Linked DNA regions of Rhinolophus ferrumequinum. The protein of the gene in region 1 purifies or fractionates together with the protein of each later gene. This does not show direct contact. Links are inferred from orthologs where the notes say so. Each region holds a gene or a part of one and is shown in the gene's direction. Other genes may lie near its edges.

Region 1 (6,873 bases):
CCAGGTACCACTCACACTCCAGGATGGGGATTAGATGGGGCGCACACACCAGGGGTGAGAATCTCGGTGTCCATCTTGGAATTCTGCCACAACACACGGTTCAGGACGTTAGAGATTTTGCTCATAAAGTTTGCCACTTGGGAAGACTTCAATTAGTTCAAATAGGCTATTTTGACCTTGTCTTCTTAATCTCACCAAAATACTGTCCAACAAAAAACCTACATAAGAATCTTACCTTAATGTGAAATTTGACAGATGGTAAGGAAATTTGTCTTCCTAAGCTGGTCTATCTAAATTGTCAACTCTGAGGTTTTCAACTTAATCTGTGTAGATGAGTGTGGGGACAGAGCCCCAGAGAGCAGTTCCCAGGCTCTCGGCCTCACATGGAAAGGTGCTGGCTCAGGTAGTAGATGGTCAACAGCTGCGACTAGTTGGCCATCGGCTGTTACCGGTTAGCCATTAGCCACTGATATAACTGCCGTGGTTAAGCTAGCAAGGCGTGTCGTGGCGTGGCGTCCTGACGTGGAGTGGCATGGCATGGTGGAGTGTGGATTGCTGATTGCAGAGAGGCGGATTGCAGCTAGCAAGTGAGGTTGGTTGGCAGAAACAAGTGGATGGCGGGTTGCAGATCGTGTGGCTCCTGCTTCCTGTATCTCCAACCCAGCCGCCAGCAAGACTATACTGGTATGACTCCCCTATCTATGGCTCCGTGGGTGTTCCTTTTTGGCCTCACCATGTCCTGTGTTCTTATGTGGGGAGCGGGACTAGAGACCCCCGCATGACACCCTGCATGACAATGAGAATAGTAAAGAAAAAAAACTTAGCAAATGTCTTATGCTTTATAAAAATAAGAATGGAAAAATGTACGTGTGCTATTGTCCACATGTTGACACATGCATACAAACATTCACATACAGATTCTGGAATAGCATAGGGACAGGAAATATTGCCGTGACCATTATAGGACAATACCTCCCGCCACCCAGGACACTTACCTCGGTTTAACATGGGGTGAGGAAGGCTTCCTAGAGGAGGTGGCATTCTAGTCAAGTTCTGAAGGATGTGTACACACACACACACACACACACACACACACACACAGTGGAATTGGTTTGTGGTTGCCTAGCCTCCAAATGAATGAGGGCTTCCTCTGACCATACAAGACCTATGAAAAGACTGGAAAACTGAAAGTGAGCCTTAAAATTTGAATAGAATCACCCTCATTGGGTGCAGGGGGCATTGTGTGAGGAACCCTTCGACATGCCACATGCAGTTGGTCCTCCAGGAGAGTGACTAAGAGGTTGCCAGGCAGCGTTGGTGTGAAAAGGACTGTTCAGACATCTGGTAGCCTCAAAGGGCTCAGTCCACCTTAGCTGCTACATAGAAATGTGCTGAAACCGAGCAGAATTCTTTCTGGGCTGGGAGCCATGAATCCTCACTGCTCCTTTCACCTCACCCCCAAATCCACCCAGCATCACATCCTCTCTGCTTTACCTTCTAAATGTTGCTACCTTCCACCCGCTTCTCTCCACCTTCATCGCTCCCATCCTGGTCTAAGCCACCATTGTCCTTTGCCTCTATGAGGAAACAGCCTCCCTGCACCTCCCTGTCTCCCCTCCACTTCCCTGTAGAGTATTTGCTTCCAAATTCAAAACTACTCAAGTAGCTCCTTGCATAAGACCCATGCACAAATTCTATTCTATCAGGATAAGTGTTCTGCCCCCTCTGGCCTCTCCACACTTATCCTGCACCTTCTTCCCACCGCCACACTCCCATGCCATCTGAAAACACTGGTCTTCTTTTGTTGTTGTTTAAGTTTAAATATGACACATGCCTTCCCATCACCGGGCCTTTGCACAACTGTTCCCTCTGACTTTCGTAGTGAATATTACACATCCTTCAGAACTCAGCTAGAACGCTATGTCCTCTGAGAAGCCTTCCTCAGCCCCTGCTAGACTGGGTTAAGTCCCTGCAGTGGCAGAGGATATTTTCCCCACATGGTCATGGCAGTATTTCCTGTCCCCCATGCTATTCCAGACCCTGGCCACTCCCCAGCTTCTGGAGTCCATTTGCCCTCCTCTTCAATTTGGGAGGGATTTGGTCATGGCCACTAAGGAAAGACTGCAATGGAAATGATTCCATGTGACTTCTGAGGCTGGATCAGAAAAGGTGATATATGGCTTCCATCTGGCTTGCTGGCTCCTCTCTCAGAATGATTGTGCTTGGAACCCAGCTGCCCTGTTGTCAGGAAGCTCTGGCTGCATTGGGAGGCTTCATGTAGGTGCTCCTGGCAGCAGCCCCAGCTTGGGTCCCAGCCTATAGCCAGCAGCAACCGATAGACAGGTGAGTAAGTAAACTTTCAGAGGATTCCAGCCCCAGCCTTCCAGACAGCCAGCTGACACCAGTGGGCCAGAGATGAGCTATTTCTGCCCAAATTGAAGATTGGAGAACAAAATAAATGTTGGTGTCATTCTAAGTCTCCAACTCTTGGGGGGGTTTGTTACAGAGCCACCGTAACTGGAACATTACTGTTATACCTGTACCTTTTCTTTGAAGTATCTGCTATAGTTGAAAATTTACACTTGTCTGTGTGATTGTTTGATTCCTATCCTTCTTCAAAGACCGAAAGCTCTAGGAGGGCAAAAGCCTTATCAGTTTTATTCACTATTCTATTGCTGACACGTAACACAATGCCTGGTAAATAATGAACTCAACTGCCAATGTATCCTCAGCTTTTCTGCACCTCTTCATGTATAAAAAGAGATGCCATTTGGTCATTGATTGAATGTTCATTCATTTGGTAAATGCTCACTGATAAGGCTCTGTGTCAGGGATTAGCGTTAGAGGTGAAGCATGAAAAGATGATGGACAAAGGACTGTAAGAGGGCACAGGAGGGGTCACTTTAGTTGTTTTAAAGGATGCATAGGTGTTTTCTGGGTAATAAAGAGATAGAACAGAGCTTCTGCCACGGGAAATGGTGTGTGCTGCTGCATGGGGCCAGGAAGCAGCCAGGCTGGGCAGGCATTGGCAGGAGGAGGTTCTGCACAGATAGGGCAGGTGGGTGAAAAACTTCAAGGAAAGGTTCGTCAGCGCCAGGTTCTGATGGCTTTCAATGCTGCATGTAGGTGCTTAGATTTCAACTCACAAGAAATAGGAAGACTTTGGAAGCTGCTTTGGAATAATTCCAGTTCTTGATAGTACCAGGGCTGGTAAAATTGGATAAGTGGCTCCTGAACGGGTCCAGCAAGGAAGTGATGGGTCGGTACCAGGGAAGTGAAGGTAGAAGGAGCAGGACTAAGTCAAGAGCCATTTAGTAAGAATTTACCGCTTAGGGCCCTGTGTTTAGGCTGCTTTGGGCCTATACTCCATTGTCCCATCAACCCAGAGAAAGCAGGGCTCCACCAACTTGTTTAGTAAATATATCAGACTCTACGGACTTCAGGATCTGTCTCACCCACTCACCCTGCTGCTGTAGTGCAAAAGCAGCCAGAGACGGCAGGTCAGTAGTGAGCATGCACGTGTTCCAACAAACCTTTAACAGACATTGAAATTGGAATTTCGGAATTTTCACGTGTCACAAAATAGTCTTCTTTGTTGGATTTTTTCTAACGTTTACGAAATGTAAAAACCATTCTTAACTTGCTTGCGGAGCCAGACAAAAGCAGGCGGCAGGGCTTGGTTTGCCCACCTAAACTATGTAAGGAATTCATCGCCTAGTAGTACTTCGGTTTTAAGGGTAAGAGCCTACAGCGGGGTCCCTCAAAAAGCCCCGCCCTCCCTGACATCATCAGGCCGCGCCCCCAGGGCGGAGCCTGCGCTTGCGCCGCTGGCCCGCGGGCGGGGGCGGGGGCGGGGCGGGTCGCGGCTCCGACTTCCAACATGGCGCACGCTGGTGGTGGCGGTGGCCCCGCGGGCCGTGGGCTGAGCGGCGCCCGCTGGGGTCGCTCGGGCTCCGGGGGCCACGAGAAACTGCCAGTGCACGTGAGTGGCACCCCAGCCCTCCCTCGGGGACCCGGTGGTCCAGCCCCCGCTGGCCCGCGCCCCCTACCCGGGCCCCGCTCAGCCCCACCTCGGCCTCCCCTTCGCGCGGCCCGGGACCCTCGACCCCTCACCTCGGTCCCTCGGAGGCCCGGCCCGTCCCCCTGCCCCCCAGGGACCCTTGCCCACCGTCCCTTCCGCTGATCCCGGCCCACCGGGACCCTCCCCCTCCCCGCAGGTGGAGGACGCCCTCACCTACTTGGACCAGGTGAAAATCCGCTTCGGCAGCGACCCTGCCACTTACAACGGCTTCCTGGAGATCATGAAGGAGTTCAAAAGCCAAAGGTACCCGCGGGGCCCCTCCCCACCCCGGGGGGCCGCCATCGGGCTGAGCGGGGGTGAGAATCCCCCAGCTGGGTGACCTTGCGCAGGTCGTGGAACCTCTCGGAGCCTGAGTTCCTTCCTCTAAAAAATGAGAGTGGAGAGTCCCTCCTTGTGGAGCTGTTGTAGGGATTCCTGGAAGGAGGACAGGTACGGGGTGAGGCAAGAGGCCAGTCTGACCAGCACAGAGGCAGAGCCTTTCTTCAAAAGATTAATTTTTAAATGAATCTTGTTCATCCAGGACTTTTTAAAATTACTTTTTTTCAAGGGTTGTATTAAAATGTTATTTATCTTAGTTATTGAATGTTTTGGCGCCTTCTTCCCCTTAAATTTTGTCCCCAAGGTGAATGCCTCACTTACCTCACCCTAGTCCCAGGCCTGCTAGGAAGTTATGTGCATAAAATGCTTAGTAAGGGACCTGGCATTTTCAAGGCATTTAAGACACATTAACTGTTTTTGATAGCACAGAATCAGGAGAATTAGAGATCCACCGGGGACCTCACGCTCATGCCCTTGTTTGACAGGAGGCTCACTGAGGCTTAGAGTGGACTGGTGCAGGGACAGGACTAGAACTTGGGCCCTCTGACTCTTAGATTCTCGACTGTCACATCCCCACCATGCTGCGTCTTCCTCTGAGGAAATATGGCAGGGTTGGTCTGGTTTCCTTCCACAAGCCCGATGCGAAGGCTTTGGCCCTGACTGCAGGCACAAGAAAGACCCCATCCCTCTGTGGTTCTCCCCAGGATGGCACAGGGAGCCCTGGTCTAGCTGCTTTCAAAGTAGATCACAGTCTGCAGAATCACCCCAGTCACATTTTAGGGTGCTTTGTTGCCAGTGAGAAACTGGTTATGGGGCACTGTCACGGGAATCAGAAATAGATTTTGTTTTTAATTGGCTCCCTGAGACGCTTTTGCCCATTTGTGTTCTTCTTTGTTCCAGCATTGACACTCCTGGAGTCATCCGACGCGTCTCACAGCTCTTCCATGAACACCCTGACCTCATTGTTGGATTTAATGCTTTCCTTCCCCTTGGGTACAGAATCGACATTCCCAAGAATGGCAAGTTAAACATACAGTCACCTCTGTCTAGCCAGGTATGCCGCTGCAATGATCCGAGTAATCTCGGCCTTAATATGGCCCGCCCTGGTCCTCAGGTTGGGCAGCACGTGTCATGTATGGCATTGCTGGAAAGCCAGCACAAATCAGAATAGATCAAAACACCTATGCAAGCAGGCTCCGCTTCCAAAAGCAGTGCGTTTGGAGGATTTAAATCAAGAGTAGATCTGTTCGTGCATGTCCTAACAGAGTTTTATGTCCAGTAAAAATAACTGCATTCTCCGTGGCCGAGGCCTCGGTTTAAGGCCTTCCCGGTGAGCGCACGAGGTAGGCCACACTTGTATAGGGCATGTGGTCACTGATGCCACCCACAAAGTGAAACAGTTGGACTGTGGGTGTGGATGGTCATTTTTATTGTTGCTGTGATGAATTTAATTGCCAGCCAGCTCATTGGCTTGGCTCAGGCTTATGGCTTTGGTCCCTTCTCTCTCGGTAACAGTTTGCTGCCTCCTCTCTCTGCAATCTGAAAGCCTATTTGAGCTTTACTTTTATAAGGTCACCGTTTTTTCTCTACCTCGGCCCTGTTGCCATTTAAGGTGTAATGCTTTGCTGCGGAGTGTGTGGCAGGGGAGTTGTCCAGATCATTGGGAGATATTTAGCAGCATCCCTGACTCTACCCACTAGGCCCTCACCTAGTGGAGACTGTTAAAAATGTCACCAGATATTGCCAGCTGTCTCCTGGGAGCAAAATCCCCCCTCCTCTTCCCCCCCCCTCCCCCCCCCCCGCCCATTGAGAACCACTGGTCGAAGTGAACCAGCTCTCAGCCACCTCCATCTCTACCCTAGGGGTTTTAGTGGGGAAGTAAAAAATCTACCGCAGGAAGCGTTTTGCATGTTTCTCCTGATGAAGGAGTGTCCTGTCACTGAGGGAGTCAGATTTGGAAGAACAGCAAGAGGCCTATGCAAGACAAGCTCCATCTTCATTCAGCGTGTTGTCTTATTAAAGCGGAAAAGTGCGTCTCAGTTTTAAAAAAGGAACTTGGAAGCCTGCGGCTGCTGAATTTCAAAAAGCTTCCATTTCACGTTTGCAAATGGAGCCCCAGGATCCAGATGTGGGACTCATGCCTCCAGAGAGAAAAGCTTTGGCAGGATTAACCTTCGTAACAATCACAGTCACTGCTGGGGGAGAAAACCAGGCTCATTGGCAGTAGTGTACATGGAGCAGAGCACTTTGTGAGCCTGAAGTGCCGGATCAATGCGGGGTGTCGTTCCCAGGCCTGAATTGTGCTCCCTGTGTGGAAATGGCCTTTCTCAATCCCTAATTGTTTGAGTTACTCCGCTCTTGAGAGAGGCACAGCAGGGGCCCTCCCCCCATGCCTTGGGGGTCCTAGCTGTCCCGCACACATTAGGGAGGGCTGCTGTAGAGATATCAGACCAGACCAGTCTTGTCTCCTGGGT
Region 2 (7,462 bases), on another chromosome or scaffold:
TACTTTTCTGTCTTACAGCTTCAGCCTATTCCTGGCTCAGCTTTCTTATGGGATTCATGGGGCTCAGGCTTTTCAGCTACTGCTCCTTCTGATCTCTCTACATCACTTTCAAAGTCTAGAGAGATTTGAGAAGGTTGGTTAGCTGCATTCATTCTAGTACAGACAGAAATTTCCTTCCATCAGCCTATAGAAGAGTTACCCTAGGATCAGATGCCATCCCACTCTTGGTGTACTAGTTAGCTATTGCTGTGTAACAAATCGCCATAAACTTAGCAGCTTAGAACAACAACCTTTCTTATCTCGCCATTTCTGTGGGTCAGGAGTTCAGGCCTGTCTCAGCTTGGTCCTTTGCCCAGGTATCACAGGCTACAGCTGGACAGGTATCAGCTGGACTAGGTTCTCCAGTGGAAGCTCAACTAAGGAAGCATCAGCTCCCAAGCTCACTCAGTTGGCAGTATTCATTTCCTTGGTGTGTAGAACTGAGGCTCCAGCTTCTTGAAAGTGTTGGGCTGGAGGCCACCCTCAACTCCTGGAGGTTGCTTGCAGTTCCTATAGGCCACCTGCAGTTCCTTGCCATGTGAGCCACATAGGAGCTTCATCAGACCAGCCAGTAGAGTCTCCAGAGTGAGTCTGGCAGCAAGGCAGTCTTATATAATGTAACATGGTCAAGGAAGTGACATCCTCTCATCTTTGCCACATTCTATTGGTTAGAAAAAAGTCACAGGTCTTGTCCATATTCAAGGAAAAGGAATTATACAAGGGCATGAATATCAGGAGAGAAATCATGTCGGGTCATCCTAGGGTCTGTCCACAACATACCACACCTAGCATAGATGCATTTGGGGTGAGGACAGTGGTACAGAATGTGGTGCCCAGACGAGACACATGCTGAGTTTGGCCTGGGTAACAGACAGGTGAAGGTTATAAAAATAATGGATATAAGCAAGTTCAAAAACTTCACAATCTTTATATGTGTAGCTCATTTAATCTATACAATCAGGTCAAGATACGTAATAGTATTCTTGTTTTACAGATGAGTGAACTGGACGAGACTAGGATTTCCCTGACTGGGGACTGGCCGGGGCGAGGGGGGGTGGGATTTGGACGTAAAGGAACCACAAAGAATTAGTTATTTGCTTTTCTCTAGATAATCACCCAGCAGGTGTGATGCCTTTTGGTGTCTGTTCAATCCGTTCAAACTACCTTGTGTGGACAACATCGTTTTGAAGAACCTAGGATACTAATAAGCCCCTGAAACTGGTCAGGGACTTCAAAACCTGAGAGGTGTGAAAGGTTCAACCTGGCTGGGGCACAAGGAGGCTGTCTTCATCACACCAAGCTCAGTGGATGGGGATTCTCAGCCCTAGCAACACAACCGTGGGTGAAACATCTATTTTCCTTCAAGAGTCCACTATCTGAGGGACTGGAGACTTGGGTGATACTGTCTGTCCCTAGTTAGTAAGGAAAACTCAGACTTCATTCATGTACTATGATGTGCTTGTGATTACACTCAGTAAACATTTGTTAATCCTTCCTGTTGATGGAGATATAAAGAGTGATTTCTCTCTCTGCCTACTCCAGGAGGAATACAGAGCAGATAGTGTGGTGCTGTGACAGGGGAACTGGAGAAGTTCCGTGAAAATATCCCGCAGGGCAGGGGAAGGCGAGGAATTCAAGGAAGGCTTCCTGGAGAATATAAATAATTTTCTTTCCAGGTAGGCATCGTAGAACTGGCAGCACTCTGCTGGCTGATTGCTGAAGGTTGAGGCCTATAGAAGGAACTTCAGACTTGAGCAAACCCCTAGGGCCAAATTGTGTGGAGCATTGGTAGAAACTATTGTTGAGAGAGCATCCAATGTTTGGAGAGGCAGTAGGGACTAAATTATTAAGGCCTTTGAATACAGGGCTTAGAGGTTTGGAATATATTCCAAAGTTATTACAACATCATGGATGGAAAGGACAGGCTCAGTTTAATGCTTCAGAAAAAGAACTCTGTGGAGGACAGATTGAGGGTAGGAAGCGATTTGAGTTGGGGCAGCACTACTATAATCCAGACAAGAATAATGAAAGCTTGAGCCGAGGCTATGGAAGTGAGTAGAAAGGGGGTAGAGAGGTATATATGGTGACTCTGGGAGATGGAAGAGTGGAAACAAGAATAAAACTAAAGTCAGAGAGGATGGTGATGCCATTAACAAAAACCAGAAGTCAGGAGTGCAGAGAGGAGGCAAATCAATGTGTTCAATGTGGTAAATTCCAGGGACTTGTAAGACACATATGGACTGGTACAGCAGGTGGAACTGTCAGTGTGCAACTCAAAGAGAGTCACCGTGTACATAAAATTTTGTCATTTTCAAGAATTATATTTGAAAGTGTAAGAGGGTGTTAAACAAGTTAGGAAGACAGTATAGAATTAAAAGAGGGTTGGAGTCTTAGAAAATGCTATACAGTATCTGTGAAGGAGGGGGGATAATGGAGATTGATAGGAATAAGAGTAAAACCAGGTGAGAGGGTGGTTATAGAGGCCAAGGGAAGAACACTGTAAAGAGGAATTACCGTCAGTAAGCTAGACAAGATGACAACTAAGGACCACCGGGTGAAGTTGAGTAGGTCACTGGCAACTTTTAGGGAGCATTTTGAGAAGGGCGGCAGGAGCAGAATCCAACAAGGGTGGAGACTGCCTAAGGAGACGAGGCTAAAGTGTATTGCAGCAGCTCTTTCAGAAGAAATTTGGTAAGGGAAGAAAGGAAAATGGCTTGAGGAAAGAGGATGGGTATTTGACACTCATTCTAGCAAGCCGTTATCTTACACAGCTGGGCACGATAGAAAGAAGGGATTTACGCCCCGTTTATTTAACTAGTCACAAAACTCCTGGTCTAAATTGTTACCTTGGGAAGGCAGGAAGGGGGACGTAATCTTTATTATCAGACCCAAAGTTTGCTTCAGCAGCTTTGTCTAAGACTTCTACAAGTGTATAAACTCCGACCCTTAAATCTCCCCAAAATAATAACAACAAATCAACACCATCCCCCCTTCGCTTCTTTGCAACTGGAAAAACTGAGCAGGTGCACAGTACCCGAGCCCTGTGCCAGGAACCGCTATCCGAGCCGGCCTGGTTTAACCAGAGGGTGCTCGGCTCTGGGGCAGGCAAACCCGATGGAGTCTCCCCAGATCGGCACCCTGATCCTCCCACGGTGCGCAGGCTTTGCGGTCCGTGGCCTTCGGTGGTGTATTAAGGCCCACTCGCAGCGCGGGGAAGCGAGCTTAGTTAAGAAAACCCTCGGCCGGCCTTGCGATGACCCCCTTCCCCGCTGCAACCAGCCTTCTCCATTACCCTGTTCCCGCGCCGCACTTCCCTCGGGAAAATGAAAGGCATCGCTGTCCGCTGAGGCAAAGGGGCGGGATCCATTATCTTTATACTAGGCAAAGAGAAAAGCCAGGGACAACTCTAGACAGCAAAAGGCGGTGTTGTCTCCGGGAGGCCCCGCCCAGGCCCGCCCTCTTGGCGCCGGGACTACATTTCCCTGAGGCCTCCGCGACTACGGGGGGCGGGCCCGTCCGCTCTCCCGCTCAGACTGAGCGATGACTGGCTTTCCTGGGTGAGGGAGGTGCCTACTACAGCCAATAGGTGAGGGGCTCGTTACGGCGGCGGAAGCAGCGGCGCTGGGCTGAGGGGTGGGGGGCAGAGTGCTCGCGCCCCGGCGGCGGCGGCGGCGGGTCCGGAGCCGAGGACGTCGGCCCCACAGGCGGAGAGCGCACGGCAGCGAGCTCGAGGCGGCGCGGTGGCCACTCGGCGCAGCACCCAGGTAATGGCGGGACAGGCGCCCGGGAGGGGAGGGGAGGAGACGAGGGGGCGGGGCGGCAGAGCCGGGCTGCAGCGTCCGTCCCGCTGCGCGTCCCCGGGGAAGGGCAGCGGTGCCGCGTCTCCGGCGGCTCAGACCTAGGCTCTGTGGCAAGCTGGGCATGACGGTTGGGCCAGTGGCAGGGGCCGGGTGTCCTACGGCAAGGAAAGAAGAGGCGTCGGGCTGACTCGGGCTTGGGGGCGTGGCGGGCGTGGGCCTTGGCTGGGAAGCAAAGCTGCTGGGGAGCGCGGGCGGGCGGACACCCTGAGAGTTTGGCTCCTACAGGACTTTAAAGTGACTCTCCACATCCGGGCCCTGCGCCCGCCGCTTTTAGACCCCGACCGAGGCGGGGCCTCCCAGTTCTCCGCCCCCCTCGCCGGGAGAGCTGCTCTTTCTCTGCTATTGGCTCCATCTCGAGGAGTTTGGGCTACGCGGACAAGGCTCGTGCCTGATAGGTTGGCAGTCGGCGGGAGGGTGGGGCGGGATCAGAGCGCGGAGGCCGCGGCGGATTGGTGCCGGCCCTGGAGTGACGCGCCCGTCCTGGGGCCAATGGGCGGTCGGTGGAGGTAGGGGCAGGTTCGGGAGAAGAGGACTGGAACAGAACGGCGGCGGGGTGAGCGGGGCCGAGGGGCTGGACAGCGGCGGGCCTGAAACGCGCTCCGCACGAGTCCTCTCCACGACCCCGGAATCTAGCGCTACCACCGAAATGGGCCCTACACGGCACCCCCAACCAGGCGAGATGGAAGCGGGAGGGGCGGGCGGCGGGCGGCGGCTGCAGGTAAAGGCTCACTGCTTGTCCTGGGGCTCCCCGGAACGCCTGTCCCTGGCCCCCAGACGGAGTCTCATACCCGAAGTGTCTGGAAACCTGTGTTCTCCGATCTCAACTGGGGTGGGTGGGGGTGGGGTTGCGGGCGAATCGGGGATATCGGCATAGCCTGGCTCCTGAGGGAAAAGTGGGCGGTCGATTTTAGAGAAGGCAGTGAAGATCTTGGGTCCCTCTGGCTCACTGGGGGTGGAGGGCTGTGAAAAATGGGGGGAAGGGAAATGGGTAAGGGGAGGCCTATGCAAAAAAAAAAAGCATTTGAGAATTCTTGGATCAGGTCTTAATGTAAGGTTTCTGATTCTTAGGACAGGACATCTCTTTTTTGATCCCTCCTATGACTTACTGATGACAATGTTCACCTTGGTGTGAGGGTTAAGTCTTTCAAAGGGACATGACATTTGCCATAAAACTTTACACAGACACATGCGTATTGTGTTGATGTATTGTGGCTGTTGTGTAGGATTCAATATTGATTTTTGTGGCAATCCACAAGTATTTATGGAGGGTCATAGTATCCCCCCACCATGTTACCTGTTAACGATTTTACTATTAATTGAACCTATCTCCATCAAAAACCTAAAGAATTTAGATCATTTCTGAACTGTATATTGATCACAAGTAATTGTTTTAGATAAATGATGTTGCATTTGCTTTTCTGAGGGAAGATATAGGTATTAAAGATGCTTTAATTTCTCATTATAGATTCTAATCTCAGAATCCAGTAATAACCATATGACTGTATGCTCTGCAGGTGGAAATGAGTTCTCAACAGTTTCCTCGGTTAGGCACTCCTTCCACTGGGCTAAGCCAGGCTCCTTCACAGATTGCAAACAGTGGTGCTGCAGGCTTGATAAACCCAGCAGCTACAGGTGAGATATGTGACATTCTTCTATATTGCTTTCCACTTTAAAAAATATTGTCAGTTTTCTAATCTAAAAATTAGCAAATTCCTTCTGGGATTTTAGTAAATACTAATAGGTTATCAAATTTAAAGAAAAGACATATGGCAATTTTAATTTAAACAAGGCTTTTTCATTCCTGTTTTAATCACTTCATTTACATGTACTAGAATATACATGAAAGTTACGGTGAGCATGCCAGGAAGAGCTATTTTTTAAATATATTAATGTCTTCTCAGTTAGTTGAGGCCAGAGGTATGGTAATCAATGCCATGAGCGAACCCAAAGGTGTGTAAGGCATAGGTCTTGCCTTCTTTACTATCTAGGAAAAGAGGCTAAAAACAGTATGTATACACATATGTACAGCTTGATTTTTACTTGTAGACCCTTGGAGTGCAGCAGATCAGTGGTGCTCAGTGGCATATGATTTTGCCTCCCAGGGAATATTTGACAATGCCTGAATACATTTCTGGTGGTTACAACTAGGAGGTGCTATTGGCATCTGATATTTAGAGGCTGGGGATGCTGCTGACCATCCTACAATGTGCAAGCTGAAGAACTCCAAATAGTCTCTTTCTCTATATATAGCCAGTAAAATGATGGCCCTGCAACCCCCTGCAGTGAAGGCCAGGAGCTTGTCTGTCTCATGCACCTTTGTATGTATTATGCTTGCTATATAGTGTAATGCACAAAGTAGTAGTCAACTAGTTCTTGTAAAGCCACTTATGTTCCTTACTCCTTAAATATTTTGACACTATTTTGTCTTTGGTATACGTTCACAGCAGAATAATTTAAAAGCATAGCTAAAGAGAATATTTTTGAACATCTGTTCTTTGCAAAGAATAAACTTGCCCATTTAAAAAGGTGTCAGCCATCAATAATTGCCCTCAAATTTTGTTGAAAAGGAAATCATTGAGTTAGACCAAAATTGTGTATAATTTTACTTCTGAATAGTGTGTTTTTTCATCAGTGGCTCAAAAAAAAAAAAAAAAGAAAAGGAAAGAAAAATTTTCTGTAAGCAGTTAGATGTTTTTTATATTTCCTATTGCTCTTATCAGAAGAAGTAACTTGGGATCCTAAGCACGTGAGGATTTCAAGTATATGTTCAAAGTTCAGAAGAATAGGTTACAATCACTTCTCTTAACTGCTGCTTCAAGATTCTTTTCTGGTAAAAATAAACTGAAATCGAGAACTTAAAATGTCTGGAAAGAAATGATAAATGGTTCCAAAAAGAACTTCACAGGAGGTGGTCAGAACATTATATCTTAATGAAATTGTCAGAAATCAAAGTCTTCCTGGACAGATAAGTTTAGAGGGAAGTTATGAAATTGTCCATTTCCCTTAAAAACTTAATTAGGGGAAATCTGTTTGGACAACTGGGGAAAGTTAAAAATAAATTGATAATGGAAAGACAGAAGTAAAACTGTCTTTATTCACAAACAACTTGATCAAGTATGCAGAAAATATTAAAGAATGTAAAAAGCTGTTAGAATTAATAAATGAAATTAATGGTTGCAGGATAAAGATTTAATATAAAAAAAATCAATTCTATTTCTAAATACTAGCAATGAACAGTGAAATTTTTAAAGTGTTTACAATGGCATAAAAAAAAACCCAGAAAATTTAGGGACAAATTAACAAAATATGTATAAGACTTGGAGTTAGAAAACTATGTAAACATTGCTGAGAGAAATTAAAGACCTAGATAAATGGAAAGATCTGTCATGTTCATAGATTGGAAAACCCAGTATTTTTAAGACACTAGTTCTACCAAAGGGATCATACAGATTCAGAGAAATCCTATCAGGCTCTTTTGTAAAAATTAACAGCCTGAATCTAAGATTTATATGGAAGCCAAAGGACCTAGAATATCAAAGTAATTTTGATCAAAAAAAGAAAGT
Region 3 (7,213 bases), on another chromosome or scaffold:
CAAAATTTTCAAAGCACTGAAAACTGAAACCAAACAAACAAAAATCAAAGGCAGCTGAGATTTCCTCAGGAAACTACAGTTGGCTGGTCCCTGAACCACAAAATGAAGCGTTCACCTGCTCTTCCAAAAGCTTTCCTCGCTCCTAAGCCCCGGGTCATCCAAAGGACAGGCAGGCACTGGGACTGCAAGCGAAGTTCTGAGCGACAGTTAGGGGAGTGGCAGTTGGAGCGTGGGGTGGTTCACCAACCTCACCACCTAGGAGAGGGGCTCTAAGTCCAGTCCATCTGCCCGGCCTCATGATGGTCAAATAGTCATGGCTGATGTATTTTGTGCTGAGTCTCAAGGAGGCTTACATCTGAATCTCCAAAACCAATTCCATGTCAGGGAGTGTCCTGAAGTCTTAGCAAAAGGCTTCTGGAGGATGTGGCGTCTTCCCCATCATGTCATCACCTCTCCCAAGCAGGAGAAAGATGCCTATGAAACTCCCCAGCAGGGATCCTGCACATTTCTTTCACATAAGTGACTGGTTTATGATTAGTCAGGTGTTAGTTTTCCTGGTGGATAATGACGACGGTGATGCCCCCCCATGATACAGGGAGATGTCCACCCCAGGCTGCCGGCCAGGGGGGACCTGGGGAGGCCTAATTCAGGCTGTTTGTGAGAGACGTCAGATGATGAAGTGGCGGGTAGCGAGGAGGGGAATGGGAGTAGACACTTGCCCTGAATGGAGACTGTTGCTGAGAGAGGCTCATTGATTTATTAACCCACTTATTAAACTGCTACTTTAGTGCATGCCTGCTGTATGCAATGCATGGGAAAGTAAGAGACACAAAGAAGAAAAAAGCAAACTTCCATTCCTCAACCTGCTCATAGTCCGGTGGAGGAGACACAGGTACAAAGGTGTACCCTAAGGTAGAAGAAAGGAAGAATCACAACAGGAAATATTAATAGCTATTTCAGTCAGGGAGTTGGAGAAAGGGGGTAAGACTTCTGGCATGGAAGCTTCCTGAAGGGAGTGATGCATGAGCTGATTCTGGAAAGATAAGTAGAGTCGGGTTTAAAGTGTTGCGAGGAAGCATATTCCAGGCAAAGGGAACACCTTGAACCGACTCCCGGGTCTGGGAACCACGGAGCACACATGCAGAACAGAAAGGAGTTCTGTTAGGTTATAACCTAGAAGGTATGAGTGCAGTGGGAGACAGAAATATCATGATGCCCCTCCTGAGGATAAAAAAGGAAAAAGAACATCTGCCTTGGCTCTCTTCCCTTGTACCTTCTTACGGTTTCATAGGTCTCACTTGTTGTCTCTCGGTCCAGTCCACGATGTCTCTCTTTAGTTTGTTAATGTTAATAGGCAACTTCAGTTAATTACATTTTTTTCAAGATTCTCTGTGGGAGGGGGAGGGGTATAACTAATGACCAGTCTGGTGGGAAGAAATGGTGCCTCCCCCTTCCCCCCCCACCTCCTCCTATCTTATCAGCCTCAGAGTTGATGTTAATCAGGCACTTACCAGATGTAGAAGTTGCTTACAACCTCACAGGTACTAACTCATGGAACCCCCACAGCAACCTTACGAGCTGTGTTATAACAGGTGAGTAAATGGAGACTCAGTGGCAGGATGCCCCTGAGATACCCAGGACAGGGTCGGAGTGGTAAGGGAATCCTGCACGGCCTGTCCCCACCAAGCACAAAACGTGGTGAACAGTATCTCTTTGAAACCAGCTTGTGATATATTTTACGCATCTGCTCTTTTTTTCACTTTAAGAGTTTTAATTAATGAATCATGCAACACTTAAATCGTGCAAATTAGCCTACATGTTGACATTGATAATTCCCGGGGGAACTGTGCTTTATTCCTTTCCCTTAGTGTTAATTTTAAGACCTTGGGAGGTATTTATTTCTGTTTTCACAGCTCACTCGCTCTCTGTCTCTCTCTCTCTCTCTCTCAGATCTCCCTCCTGACACCTTAGGCAGCCCTGGGGCTTGACCACTGTGGCTCATGCTCTTCCTGAAAGGCCAAGGAGGGAGCAGGGAATTGGGCCGGGGCCTTCATTTACAGTGCCTCCCCGAGTTCTTTTTCCTTACCCATTTTCCTCACCTCCTGACCTGACCCCCCATCACCTCCACATAGTCGTCCTATTTGTCCTCACAGCACACTACTTTCGTTCACTCTAGTACTTCTGCATAAGCATTTTGTGATGCTACAGCTTTGCTGCTTAAAGGAGAAGCCCCACTTATTCACTGAGAACTACTATGTGCCAAGCACAATAACGGATCATATCTTCACACAGCCCTGGTGTGGACAACACCTTCCTCGCTTTACAAAAGAACAGAGCTGCAGTGAAAAGGTTCAGTTGTCAGGCTTTGAAACAGGTACTGTTCATTCTATACCACTACCTCCAGCTGGGAGAGGAGTTTTAGGGCCAAAAATCTGCCTTTATTTTCTTTTCCGTTTGATAGTTTTTCCTCCTCTCCTCCTTCTTTTGTTCTATTTCCTCCTCCTCCTTCTAATTAAATTTTAAAAATGCATGCATGTGGTGGAAAATGTTCAAACAATACAAAATACAAAAGGGTACAAAATGAAAAGTGGAAGTCTCCCTTTCTCACCATTTCTGTTGGCTACAATTGTCAACAGTTTCTTGTCTAAATGACTAAAAAAAGTACACATCACAGACACGTAGCTTTTAATTTACACAAAGTGATCATATTCTATACACTGTTCTATAAATTGTTTTTTTCCCTCTTAAATTTATATTGAAGTATAATTGACATGTGTGGAGACAGAGCCAGGAGTGCAGATTCCAGGCTCTCGGCCTCACGTGGAAAGGTGCTGGCTCAGATAGTAGATGGTCATCAGCTGTGACTGGATGGCCATCAGCTGTGGCTAGTTGGCCATCAGCTGTAACCAGTGAGTCATTGGGCACTAATATAACTGCCGTGGCTACGCTAGCAAAAAATGGGGGCTAGCAAGAAGATGGTGGCTGAGCTAGCAAGTCCAGATTGCTGTTAGCACAGCAGATTGCAGTTAGCAAGGGGTTGGTTGGTTGGCAGAGAAGTGGAAGGCAGGTTGCGGATCGTGTGGCTCCTGCTTCCTGTGTCTCTACCCCAGCCGCTAACAAGAATATAGTTGTATGACTCCCCTATCTATGGCTCCGTGGCTGTTCCTTTCTGGCCTGTCCTGTGTTCTTATGTGGGGAGCGGGACCAGAGATCCCGCATGACACCCTGCATGACAACATGTAACACTATATTAATTTCAGTTGTACAACATAATGATTTGATGTTTGTATAGATTGTGAAATGATCACACAAGTCCAGTTAACATCCATCACCATACATAGTTACAAAATTTTTCTTGTGATAAGAACGTATAAATTGGGTGGTTATACATGTGGATGTTGACCCCACCCAGGATGGTGTCCTTTGGTGGAAAGGAGCTGGTGAGCTAAGATCCAAAGTTTTCAGTGAAGAGAGGGAGTAACTTGGAGATGAGGTGCAGAGGGGAATACATTACCAGAAGGCTTCAGAAACTAGGAAGCATGGGATTTAACAGCTAGATAACCCCTCACAGAGTGCATTGTTCTAACTCATATGAACAAAACTACATTGGGGTCTAGATTATAACTTTTAAGAGTGTAAGGAGGTCCTGAGCAAGAGTGCCAGAATTAGAAAGTAAAAGTATGGGACGCCAGCTAAATTTGAATTTCAGGTAAACACACATATTGCATGGGATACATTCATATTAAAAAATTATTCGTTGCTTATCTGAAACTCAAATTTAACTGGGCGTCCAGTACTTCACCTGCCAACCCCAGGCCTAAGGCCAAGAAGTTCACGAACCACTACCCTCACAGGAGCCGGCAGCGCGCTCCTAGTAATTCCGGGTGGGACACTTCCGGTCAGGTGGGCGGGCCAGCGCGGCGCGGCCCCGCCCATCGCCGGATGCCTCCTATGGGCCCAGGCCATGCTTTCCTCCCAGGCCGGGCACCGCCCTGGCCCCGCCGCCAGGCGCCTCGGGCGATCCGGGACTGGTGTTTGGCTCCCAAGTGGTGGAATCGGCTTCCTGCCTCCAGGGGGCAGCGGCCGGGGACGGGTCCTAACGTGGATAGCTTGGCGCCCGCGCCGCTCTTACAGTCGGTGGACGTGACGGGCCGACCAGTGGGCGGCCAGGGCCGGCGGTCGCCATTCCCGTGTCGCTGCGCCCGCGGGGGCCGCCCGAGTCGGCCACGATGCCTCTGGGCCTGAAGCCCACCTGCAGCGTCTGCAAGACCACGTCGTCCTCCATGTGGAAGAAGGGCCCGCAGGGGGAGATCCTCTGCCACCACTGCACGGGCCGGGGCGGCGCGGGCGGCGGGGGCGGCGGCTCGGGGGCCGCCAGCGGGACGGGGGGCAGCAGCAGCGGTGGGGGCTTCGGCGCGGCGACCTTCGCCAGCACCTCGGCCGCTCCTCCGCAGAGCAACGGGGGCGGGAGCGGCAAGCAGGTGAGCTCCTCCGGCCCCTCCCGCCTGCGGAGGCCAATCGGGCGGGGAGGGGGCGGGCGCGGGCCTCCGGGACCCCGGGACCCCGGGACCCCGGGACCCTGCTGGGCCGGGCTGCCGCCCTCCGCCTCTTGAAGAGATCTTAACTGGTTTGGCTCTAGCACCTTGTGAAAAGTTAAAAATCTAAAGAAGCAAGAAAATTGAAAACCCTTCAGAAATCCCCCTATTGTAATAATATTTTGGGTAGCAACCAGGCATCTCATTATCCAGTGGTACATAGAGACCTAAACGGTGTCATGCTTCTGGACTTCTACCCGTTAATAAAGGCTATTTTGTCATTATATCGTGTTATTATATTATGTCATTATAAATGGCAGCATAAATATTCCATTGTAGGAGGTGGCATATCTAACTCTTCTGGCGTTGGAGAGTTGAGTTGTTAAGGATTTTTCTCTGTTACAAGCACAAATATATAGTTCTTGCCTTGACCTAGACTTGCTCTTCTGCCCTTTGCTCAATTGTTAGCAGCTCACAACTTGTTAAAAGCTCTGGAGGTGCTTGCCTAGGGCCCTCCCTGTTTTAGCTCAGTTCACGTTATTACCCAGCATAAAAATAAAAGGAATTATGTATGAGTATACTTAATTTTTAAATGACTGTATAAAGTGCATATACTCTGGGATCCTTGTAAGATGGTTCTATGGGGACAACAACCTTTCTACACTTTTTATTTCTCTTTTTTGTTCTTTGTTTATGTAACAGAGTAAGCAGGAAATTCACAGGAGGTCTGCTCGGCTCAGAAACACTAAATACAAATCGGCTCCAGCTGCTGAAAAGAAAGTTTCCACTAAAGGAAAAGGGAGAAGACATATTTTTAAATTAAAAAATGTAAGATGATTGTGGACAGTGTCTTTTACTGTAATGGCATTGTGTGTGTAGTAGTGTGTCTTGATACTGCCTTCATCTCTTCTCTGTGAACTTTTCCTCTTGGGAGCTCTTATTCTGGGGAGTGGTCCAGATTTCCTAAAGAGGCTGAGCTCTGTCGCAGGAGGCTTACTTTTGCAAAGTTAATACCCTTTCTTTTTTTTAGCTTTTATTTTTCCTCTGGAAAAATATAAAATATGAGTCTGAAAGAAACAAATCTTGGGTGCATTTTATTGGGTTCTTTATGCAAAGGATTATGGTTCTTGGTAAGGCCAGGTACACTAGGAAAACTTTTTTTCCATTATTTAAAGATCTAAGTAAATGGTATTACTGGAACTCATTCATTTCCATATTTGTTATCATAGCCGCAGAAAATGCATGTTACTGACTTACAGTCAATTTGATGAATCTGAATTAAAAATTTTGCTAAACCTTTACCTGTTCTTCTGTTGTAAGAAACTAGATTTTTGAAAGACATGCTGGGGGTAATTGGAAGCACATTTTTGGTGCAGTAAATTTTCATTGTCTTTGTAAATATAAGGGGGCAATGGTCAAACACAATGCACTCTATTTTTTTAAACCTCAGTATGGTATTCTTTCCTTTCAGAACAGGAAGGGTTGACTTACCAGTAAAGCCATTTCTGAAGTTAGGCATATTTCTAAAACATAAATGGGCCCTGCAGTATATTGTGGATTCTTACTGAGAACAGTCCCTAATTTGTCTTAAGATTTTTATACTTTAGTTTTCTAAAAATGAGGCATTTGTTGACTAGACAAAACATGTTAAGTAAATATTCGTTTGATTATAGTTGTATCCTTAAATTCATGTTTTCTTCTTAAGTATCAGGTAATATGTTCTTTAATTATTTCAATATCAACTTCTCTAGCAATCTCTTTAAGTATGATACTAAGACATATCTGGGGAGGCCTACTTTCTGTGTTGTGGCATAAAAGTGTGTATTGCAGCTTAAGAATGGGTTTCAGCGATAGGTGGTGGCAGATTACTAAGAACTCTGAAGGAATTTTCTTTCAGCCGTAGTTCAGGCTTTGCTAGAAAATGACTTCTGATGATACTGAGTATCGTGTAGTTCCATAGTTAAGTTGAGATGGAAATTGCTAGGGAGACACTTTTTCACTTTTATGTTCAGCTACCCATTTTTATTCCGCTCTGTCTTAGGCCATTAGAGCTAGTATATTTTTATAATTAAAACGTTAATGTGTAAGAACACATTATTATGTGAGGGTTTGTGTTAGCTCTCAGCAGCATAATCAGAACTTCTCCTCTAGTTCCCAGCAATTTTAAGCTAATGGTAGCACAAGTAGCAGTGGAAATATTCAAACTGGGCTTTGCCACAACATTCAGAAAATCAGTTATCTTTTTATTGCAGTTTTGTCACCAAACAACAAATTTGGTATTTCTCAAATTACAGAACTCTCATATATGGCTGGAAAAAAAATGCCTGTGTACATAAACACATACACAGTATGACTGTGCTAATATTTTTACTTTTGTTTTTTTCATAGCCCATTAAAGCTCCTGAGTCAGTTTCCACCATAATCACTGCCGAATCGATCTTCTACAAGGTAAACGTGTAGAGTTACCGAAGAAAGATTTGAGCCTGCTGTGTAATGTGCTACTAAAATGTTGGGTTAGTCTGAAAGTCTGCTTTTCTGTAAAAAGTGATTGTGAGTTTTGTTCTTTCCTAAGCTATTTCCCCCAGAGAGACCTGTTATAAAACGTCTCATCCAGAGCTGAGGGGGGAGGGGAAGTTGCCTATTGATATGTGAGGATCTTAAGGATTTTTTAATGGAGA
Region 4 (7,052 bases), on another chromosome or scaffold:
CTTAGGAGACGTTTCATTACATAATCCCTGGTCCACAGAGTAACCCCACGGAGTCACGGGGGCTCAGAATGTCCCACGCCTCACACGCTACCCTTAGGAAGATCGGCTGACGGCGGACCCTGCGAGCAGCACGGTCCCCTCTTCTCTGCGCTGCGGGCTGTGCTAACTCGCCCCGCGCAGCGACCAGGACCCAGGCTCCCTCTCCTCTCTCACGCAGGGCCGGGCACGATCAGAAGCCCCTCTCGCCGGCCCCCCGTTGTCCCGGCCCCTGTCGGGAACCTCCCCCGCAAGATCTGCTGTCCCAGCCCCTCTCGAGGTCCCCTTCCCCTTCAGACCCGCTGTCCCAACCCCATCAGACCGGCCGTCCCAGCCGCTCTCGGGGACCCCCACCCTCAGACCTGCTTTCCAGGCCCCTCTCGGGGACGCCCCTCAAACTCGCTGTCCCAGTTCCTCTCGGGGAACCACCCCTCCTCAGACCTGTTGTCCCGGCTCCTCTGGCGAACTCCCCTCAGACCGGCTGTCCTGGCCCCTCTCAGGGTCCCCTCTCCTCAGACCCGCTGTCCCGGCCCCTCCTGGGGTCCCCTCTCTTCAGACCCGCTGTCCCGGCCCCTCTCAGGGTCCCGCTTCAGACTCACTTTCCCCTGCCCCTCTCGGGGTCCCCCCTCAGACCCTCTACCCCAGCCCCTCTCGGGGATTTTCTCTCGATAGTCCGGACTGTCAAACCCGCTCCTGGAACTCCCCTCACGCGGGTCCTCGCCGACCTCATTCCGCCCGTGATCTCCTCTCCTGGGCTCACGCTGTCACCGCCCCGCGCCCCGGTGCTCTCACCTCAGACCTGCTGTCACCACCCGGGCCCGGCGTCGCCGCCGCCGCTTCCTCTCCCACACTTGTTCCCGAGTCCCTCTTCTGCCGCTTGTCCCCTGGCAGATCCCTTGGTCCGGTCGCTGAGTGCTGGGTCTGGCCGCGCGGAGCCTCCGCCCGCAGTCTCTGCGTCGCGTCCCACTCTCTCACGCAGAACCCCGCCGCCGCCGGGCGCCACACGGACCCTCCCGCGGCCGCCGCCGCTGCTGCTGTCCGAGGTGCGGCTCTTGCCAGGGGTGGCCAATCGCACCCGACTGCGCCGAGCGCGCTCCGCCCCACGGTCTCAGTCTGCCCGCCCCCGGCCCTCGACCACGCCCCCATCTCGTCTCCGATAGGCTCTCTACTGACCTTCCTTGATCGTCGGGCACGGCCTGGGGCCGCATATAGGTACTTGATTGAAGGTGCCTGGGAAGCCGAGCGGTCGATGGCTCCTGAGGATTGGCGGAGTTGACGGTGGGCGGGACGGGGCGGGGCGGGGTTTTTTCGGAGACGGAAGACCTTGCAACTTCAGTTACCCCCTGGCCGGTCTGGGGTGCGGTCACCGTTGTTTGTACTGCGCTGGGTCAAAGTTCGGGCACTCCTCCCTGAACCTTTACTTTTCTTGGGAGACTACCAGAGGTCAAGACCTTCTGGGACTCTCTGGACCACCATGTTAGAGTCTTTGAGGAGGTCCCCATTCTTCTGCTAGACCTCGCACAGCTTCCTCAGTAATTCTGCCAAAAATTAATGTAACATTTATTCACCGAGGACTTGTAAATATTTCCTGGATTTAAACTCTTTTATATCTTTGTCAAGGGAGTTTCACTTCCTTTATTGCGTTCAGCAGACGTCAGTTTAGTGCTCTTGAAAAAAGAAATCTATATACTAGATGCAGACTCTGCACAACTAAACATTCAACACTGATGGGACACATTTTGATAAGTATAAGGACAAAGCTTTAGAAATAATCAGTTTGTGGGTTTTGATCATCATGACAGGCGGAACAAGAACTGTGTGGCAGTTTTAGCAATGTTTTAGCAAGCCTATACAACATTTTTCTGTGCGAACTAATGGGCAAAGTATAATGAACTTTGAAGTGTACACCCTTTGATAACCAGAGACCCATCTTGATCCAAACTGAAAGATGGGGCCTGCTAGGGGTGAAAGTGCATCATGTGACTCAGAACCATTCTTTATATTTTTGTGAAACTGGATATTTTGATTAAATAATATCAGAAACTGAAAACAGCTACCCTCACCCCTAAACCCCAAAGTTTATGGGCTGGAAAATTTAGCGTTTTATGAAGAAATTGTTTCATTTCAAGGACACAATTTGATCTTAAGCCCTGTCAGATGTATATAGGACTTAATTCTCAGAAAACTCCGTCATTAACTCTTTTTTGTGTTAATTCCCACTGACAAAATTTGTGTTCTAAACATTACACATATTTTCCTTAGTGTTTTAAAATCCTACCCCATTCCAATTAAGATACTCCTCTTTGAGTGTTAGGGTATGCAAAAAGGGCCTAGGAAAATGGGGCTGGCAGGACTTGAAGACTAGTTTTGAAGTAGATGTGGCCTGAGCAGTGTGCTGAATGCCATTTTGGGAAGGGATGCAGAGAGATTTCAAGGTGGTAAAACTTAGTTTTGAGGGAACTTGATTTTTACAGGCTTAGAGAGGCTGTCGAAAACCATTATATTAAAACAACTATCAAGGTTGGGTAAGAGAGAATTTTTTTGACTATGTCCTTCTCTAAAGAGTATTTATTAATTAAGAGCTCATTCTACCAATTCTAAAGTTGGCAATATGGAAAAGAAGAAATGGGGTAAGTTCCCACTACTCAAATGTTCAACTGTGTCTATTCATATAAAAAAGAAATGCATGACCATTACAGATGCTATTCGCAATAAAAAAAACAGAAATAAAACATAAGCAAGACAAAAATCCCAGTGTCTTGAAACCAATTAGTAACGAAATCAACTTTTAAAAAATTCGTTATATCATTGAACTCTAATTTCTAAAATGGTGCTTTCTCTGGTCTATGATTATTGCTACCAACAGGAACTCAAGTTGCTCAATATACTTGATTACAAATAATTTTGATGTGATCTAAGAGCATTAAAAAAAAGAAAATGATGTCATCCTTTGGACAAGAGACAGTTCTCTAATCCTAGTTTATATATAGACAGTAGACCTACAGTGAGCTCTGAGAATGAGTCTTATTTAGAAGGAGCTTCAGAAAAATCTCTGAAGTCCTGGAAAGACATCACAGCATTCTATTCTGGAAATTCTTGAGTTCTGTTGGGAGGAAAAATCCCTCACAAACAGAGCCAAGATTTTAATTGACAAGGTAGAAAATAAGAAATGTTAAAATAAATGGGATGAGAATAGGTTTTTTTCACTTTGAGAAGACTCTATGGGGACCTATTCAGAGATAAACATGGTCACAAAGGATCTGAGAAGCGTAATATTGGATTCCACCCCGTCTTTTACACCGTGATCAACTTTACTACTTGTTACTTTTTCTATGGAGACTTGGTGCAACATAAATAGTAGTGTTTCTTTGGACAATCCATTAAACATCTATGGGCCCTTTTCCTTATCTTTTCTTGCTACACACAACTAGACAAGGGACATCTAAATTTGTTCATTAAGCAAAGCTTGTAACACTGTGTCCCCTTCTACTGAGAGGGAATCACATAAATTAATTCATGCAGATATTCAGCTAAGTTCCCACATAACACCTTCCCTAAGTTAGCTTAATAAGTAACTTCCGGTAGGCTAATGTGCCATTTGAACAGTTGAGAGTTGGTTAGCAAGTTACTGAATTGGGGAAAATCACCTTAAAAAAACTAATATTCTAAGAAATATGAGGCAACTGTATTATAGAGGGCCTGGCTCAGAGTCTAAACAAGGCAGGCTGGATGCAACCATTTTTTGTTTTTTTTTTTGGGCAAATGACAGCTCTTTTCTCATCTGTAAAATCGAGAGAACATCATATTGAGTAAACCTATACAAACAGAAATGACTCCCACAGACTGCGGAAATACCATTTTGCTGACCCCAGGATGGAATATCAGCATCCTTGTCTTTATTTCAGTTCTCAATAAAGCTTCATTTAGTCAGGGGAGGAGCCAGGCTCCTTTTCTTCGGGATGATCACGCAAACTCTAGGCGTCTAGGCGTCCCAATCTATAAAGGCATGGATTAATGTCGTTCACCTGCTTAGAGACCACCTCCAACCGCCAAGAGCCCTTCAAACCCTCTACCTCTCAGGTCGCTAACGATTCTCACTTTAGCACTGGTCCCAGGCGCCTCCTGGCGGCTGTTTCCGGAAGTAGCCTCTGAGTTTCGGGGTCCTGGCCGGGGCCAGGTCTGTCTAAGGATTTACCTAAGTGTAGAGACCTCGTCTCCGCCTTTCCCCACTACCCGTTGAGGATTTGACGACGGCGATGAAGGGGCTGGGGTTAATGCGAAGGAGGTGTCTGGCGGCCTCTCCACTCCCTGAAGGATGGCGGAGTCAGGCGGTCCTCGGGCAGCTCGCGACCCGGAAGTCGCCGCCGGCGCGAGGCCCCCGTTGCCGAGCGCGGGCGCGAGGGGCGGAGCTTGGCGGAGACTGGGAAGGGGGTCGCCGCGGCTCCCGCTCGTCAAGTTGGCGGCTCCCTGAGGCGCTGCTAGGCGGGCGTTGAGTGTGCAGGGCGGGTGGCCGCGGTCCCCGGGTGGCGCTCTCGGCTGTTGTCAGAAGCGACATGAGTGCCGCCGGGCTGTTGGCTCCGGCTCCGGCCCCGGCTGGAGCGCCGCCGGCTCCGGAGTATTATCCGGAGGAGGATGAAGAGCTGGAGAGCGCCGAGGACGACGAGCGCAGCTGCCGGGGCCGCGAGTCTGACGAAGGCGCGTCCTTTCGCTCTCCAGGCAGCCCGGAGTGGGGGTGGGACCGCTGCGGGAGGGGCTGAGGCTTTGCAAGGAAGAGGGGCGGGGCGACGTGCGGGACTCGGGGCAGCCCGGAGGGACAGCTGGTCGGAGCGGGGCTCCAGCATGGTACCCCTACCTGTACAGGGCAAGGGGAAGCTCTGGGTACGTTGTACCCTCCAGTTATGGGAAGAAGGCACTTAGGAAGCCGTTGTCACAGCTGCCCCTCTACTCCCCGCCGTCTCTGCTTGTACCTCAGGTCTTCACTGGTTGGAATGAGAAAGCCTTCCATTGCGCAGCCCTGCCTTTTGAGTTCCTGAGAGGGTTAGAGCAAAGCCCACTTTGGCTTCTTGGTTCCCCCGTTGTTCCCCGTCTCCGCTCCCCCACCCTCTACCCCGGGGAAATGCTTCAGTCCGTCAGCCCTACTTTGGGCGGTGCAGTACAGGTTGGTTACAGGAATGGGACCTGGAATCAGGTTTAGGTCTACATGTGGCTCCCTTAACCCAGCTTTTGACTTTAGACAACTTCCTTAAGCCTACGAAGCCTCAGTTTTCCCAACTGTAACGGGGCTTCCGAGCGTAGGAATGAGAACTAAATGAGTTGTGCACGTACAGTAGTGTACTGGTACTTGAAAGCCTGGGACTCAGGACTAACTCAGTAGATGTTTTCACGGGGGAAATAGGCACAACGGAAGGTAGGGATTTGCTTAATGGTGCCCCGGGGTTATGTTAAGTTTCACGCTCTTTGCATCATCATCACTGCCTCTCTGCCTTGCTTTTCAAACTGGGCTTTAGTTTGGCAAGTGTGAGGAAGACTTTTGGAGGGATTGAGGAAGGAGCTGGCTGGAGGAGGAGAAAGGTGAAGAAACATAAAGAACAAGGGAGAAGAAAGAGGAGCTAGAGACCAGTGTATGGGTGGCATGTTCTGGCACAAAATAGGGCTGTGGAACAAAAGCCTAGAGCAGCGAGGCTGTACTGTGGAGTATGTTGTATTCATCTCAGTTCTAAGTGCTGAGTACTGTGGCTGGCACATGACAGGAACTCCGTGAAGGTCTCTTGACTGAAGGAGGGGAGATGGGTTTGTGGAGAATTGGACCTTTAACCGCCTTTAAAAAGGTATCTGTATATGCAGATATAAAGTGGAAGGAACTAACTGCATTTGTTTAAAGTACATTTGAAGACAAGGCTTACCCAGGTATTTTGAATGTGAATCACTTGTCACTTGTACTGTTTCTAATGCCCGCAAGGGGGAGCGATGAAGCCAAAATGGATTTTTTTCCCCCTCTTAGGTAGGGCTGTTGAAATTATGTAGACACTCTAGCCGTTTGCTTATTCTGAGAACAATGTTTAAAGTGTTCTGAAACAGTTTCCGTTTGATCATCTTGTCTCCTTTTAGTTGTAACTTTCAAAATATTTCAGTTCTTAAGAGTTCAGTTCATTGATTCAGATTCTCCTTTGCTTACAGTTGATGTAAAATCTCTTAAGGATTCTAACTGGGCATCTACCAGAAGAGAATATACATATTAGGTTATTTTGGAGTAGTGATCGAGGTTTGCCTGCCTGTAGTTCTCCTCTCTTATGTCTCTTTTTCCTGAACTGCCTGTTCTGCAGAAGTAACAGCCTTGAATGACCGCATGTGTTCAATGCACCGTTTTCTGGCTGTACTTCAGATAACGGCAAGCTCTTTGCATAAAGCTGGTTGTGTATAAGTTGGAAATGGTATTTTCTTTCCTGAAGTAACTGTATGTAACAATTTTCGTTGACTCTTCCCACAGGCCTGCATTGAGTAGAACTTCATTTTACAGAAGACTGTAGTGTGACAGAAGTGTCACTGTGTCAGGTGATACCAACTCTATGAATTATGATTTTAACAAACTCTTCTTCCCTGATTTTATTTAGATACTGAGGATGCTAGCGAAACTGACCTGGCAAAGCATGATGAAGAGGACTATGTAGAAATGAAGGAACAGTGAGTATGAGTTTCAGATTTCTTTTTTTGGAATACAGAATTGACAAGGAAATCTTTGTGATTTGCTTGTGTATATGGCTTTGACCATGGTGCTTCTAAAGACCATGTATTGGTATGTAATTTCCCCCCATTAAATTTGTCACATTTTAATCATTCTTCCTGTTATAACAATCTTTTGAGGGTAAGCTAGAAAGGACATTGAAATGATGTCAGGGGAATAAGGCCATATAACAGGAGAGAACCATTTCTCACTTTATGAGGTATGATAAAAAAAATACAGTACATGTTTAAATTAAAAAAAAAAAACTTATTACAGTAGAAGACACATTGCCATT

The links.
Region 2: the proteins of SIN3B (region 1) and SAP130 purify together in Homo sapiens (affinity purification with mass spectrometry; 3 studies listed by BioGRID and IntAct, with this or other methods). This does not show direct contact. The link is inferred for Rhinolophus ferrumequinum from reciprocal best matches to the Homo sapiens genes SIN3B and SAP130.
Region 3: the proteins of SIN3B (region 1) and GATAD1 purify together in Homo sapiens (affinity purification with mass spectrometry; 5 studies listed by BioGRID and IntAct, with this or other methods). This does not show direct contact. The link is inferred for Rhinolophus ferrumequinum from reciprocal best matches to the Homo sapiens genes SIN3B and GATAD1.
Region 4: the proteins of SIN3B (region 1) and SUDS3 purify together in Homo sapiens (affinity purification with mass spectrometry; 3 studies listed by BioGRID and IntAct, counting the BioPlex papers as one, with this or other methods). This does not show direct contact. The link is inferred for Rhinolophus ferrumequinum from reciprocal best matches to the Homo sapiens genes SIN3B and SUDS3.

What each region holds. Positions count from the first base shown.
Region 1 is NC_046301.1:50,221,634-50,228,506, forward strand, and holds the start of SIN3B (paired amphipathic helix protein Sin3b), read left to right. Parts: upstream 1-3,862; 5' UTR 3,863-3,880; coding exon 3,881-3,982; intron 3,983-4,217; coding exon 4,218-4,324; intron 4,325-5,299; coding exon 5,300-5,453; intron 5,454-6,873.
Region 2 is NW_022680440.1:1,123,374-1,130,835, reverse strand, and holds the start of SAP130 (histone deacetylase complex subunit SAP130), read left to right. Parts: upstream 1-4,455; 5' UTR 4,456-4,545; coding exon 4,546-4,617; intron 4,618-5,413; coding exon 5,414-5,531; intron 5,532-7,462. UniProt on the Homo sapiens protein: Acts as a transcriptional repressor. May function in the assembly and/or enzymatic activity of the mSin3A corepressor complex or in mediating interactions between the complex and other regulatory complexes.
Region 3 is NC_046303.1:33,776,651-33,783,863, reverse strand, and holds the start of GATAD1 (GATA zinc finger domain-containing protein 1), read left to right. Parts: upstream 1-4,203; 5' UTR 4,204-4,229; coding exon 4,230-4,481; intron 4,482-5,237; coding exon 5,238-5,363; intron 5,364-6,923; coding exon 6,924-6,983; intron 6,984-7,213. UniProt on the Homo sapiens protein: Component of some chromatin complex recruited to chromatin sites methylated 'Lys-4' of histone H3 (H3K4me), with a preference for trimethylated form (H3K4me3).
Region 4 is NC_046308.1:11,715,455-11,722,506, forward strand, and holds the start of SUDS3 (sin3 histone deacetylase corepressor complex component SDS3), read left to right. Parts: upstream 1-4,030; 5' UTR 4,031-4,589; coding exon 4,590-4,731; intron 4,732-4,829; exon of another isoform or gene 4,830-4,914; intron 4,915-6,647; coding exon 6,648-6,717; intron 6,718-7,052.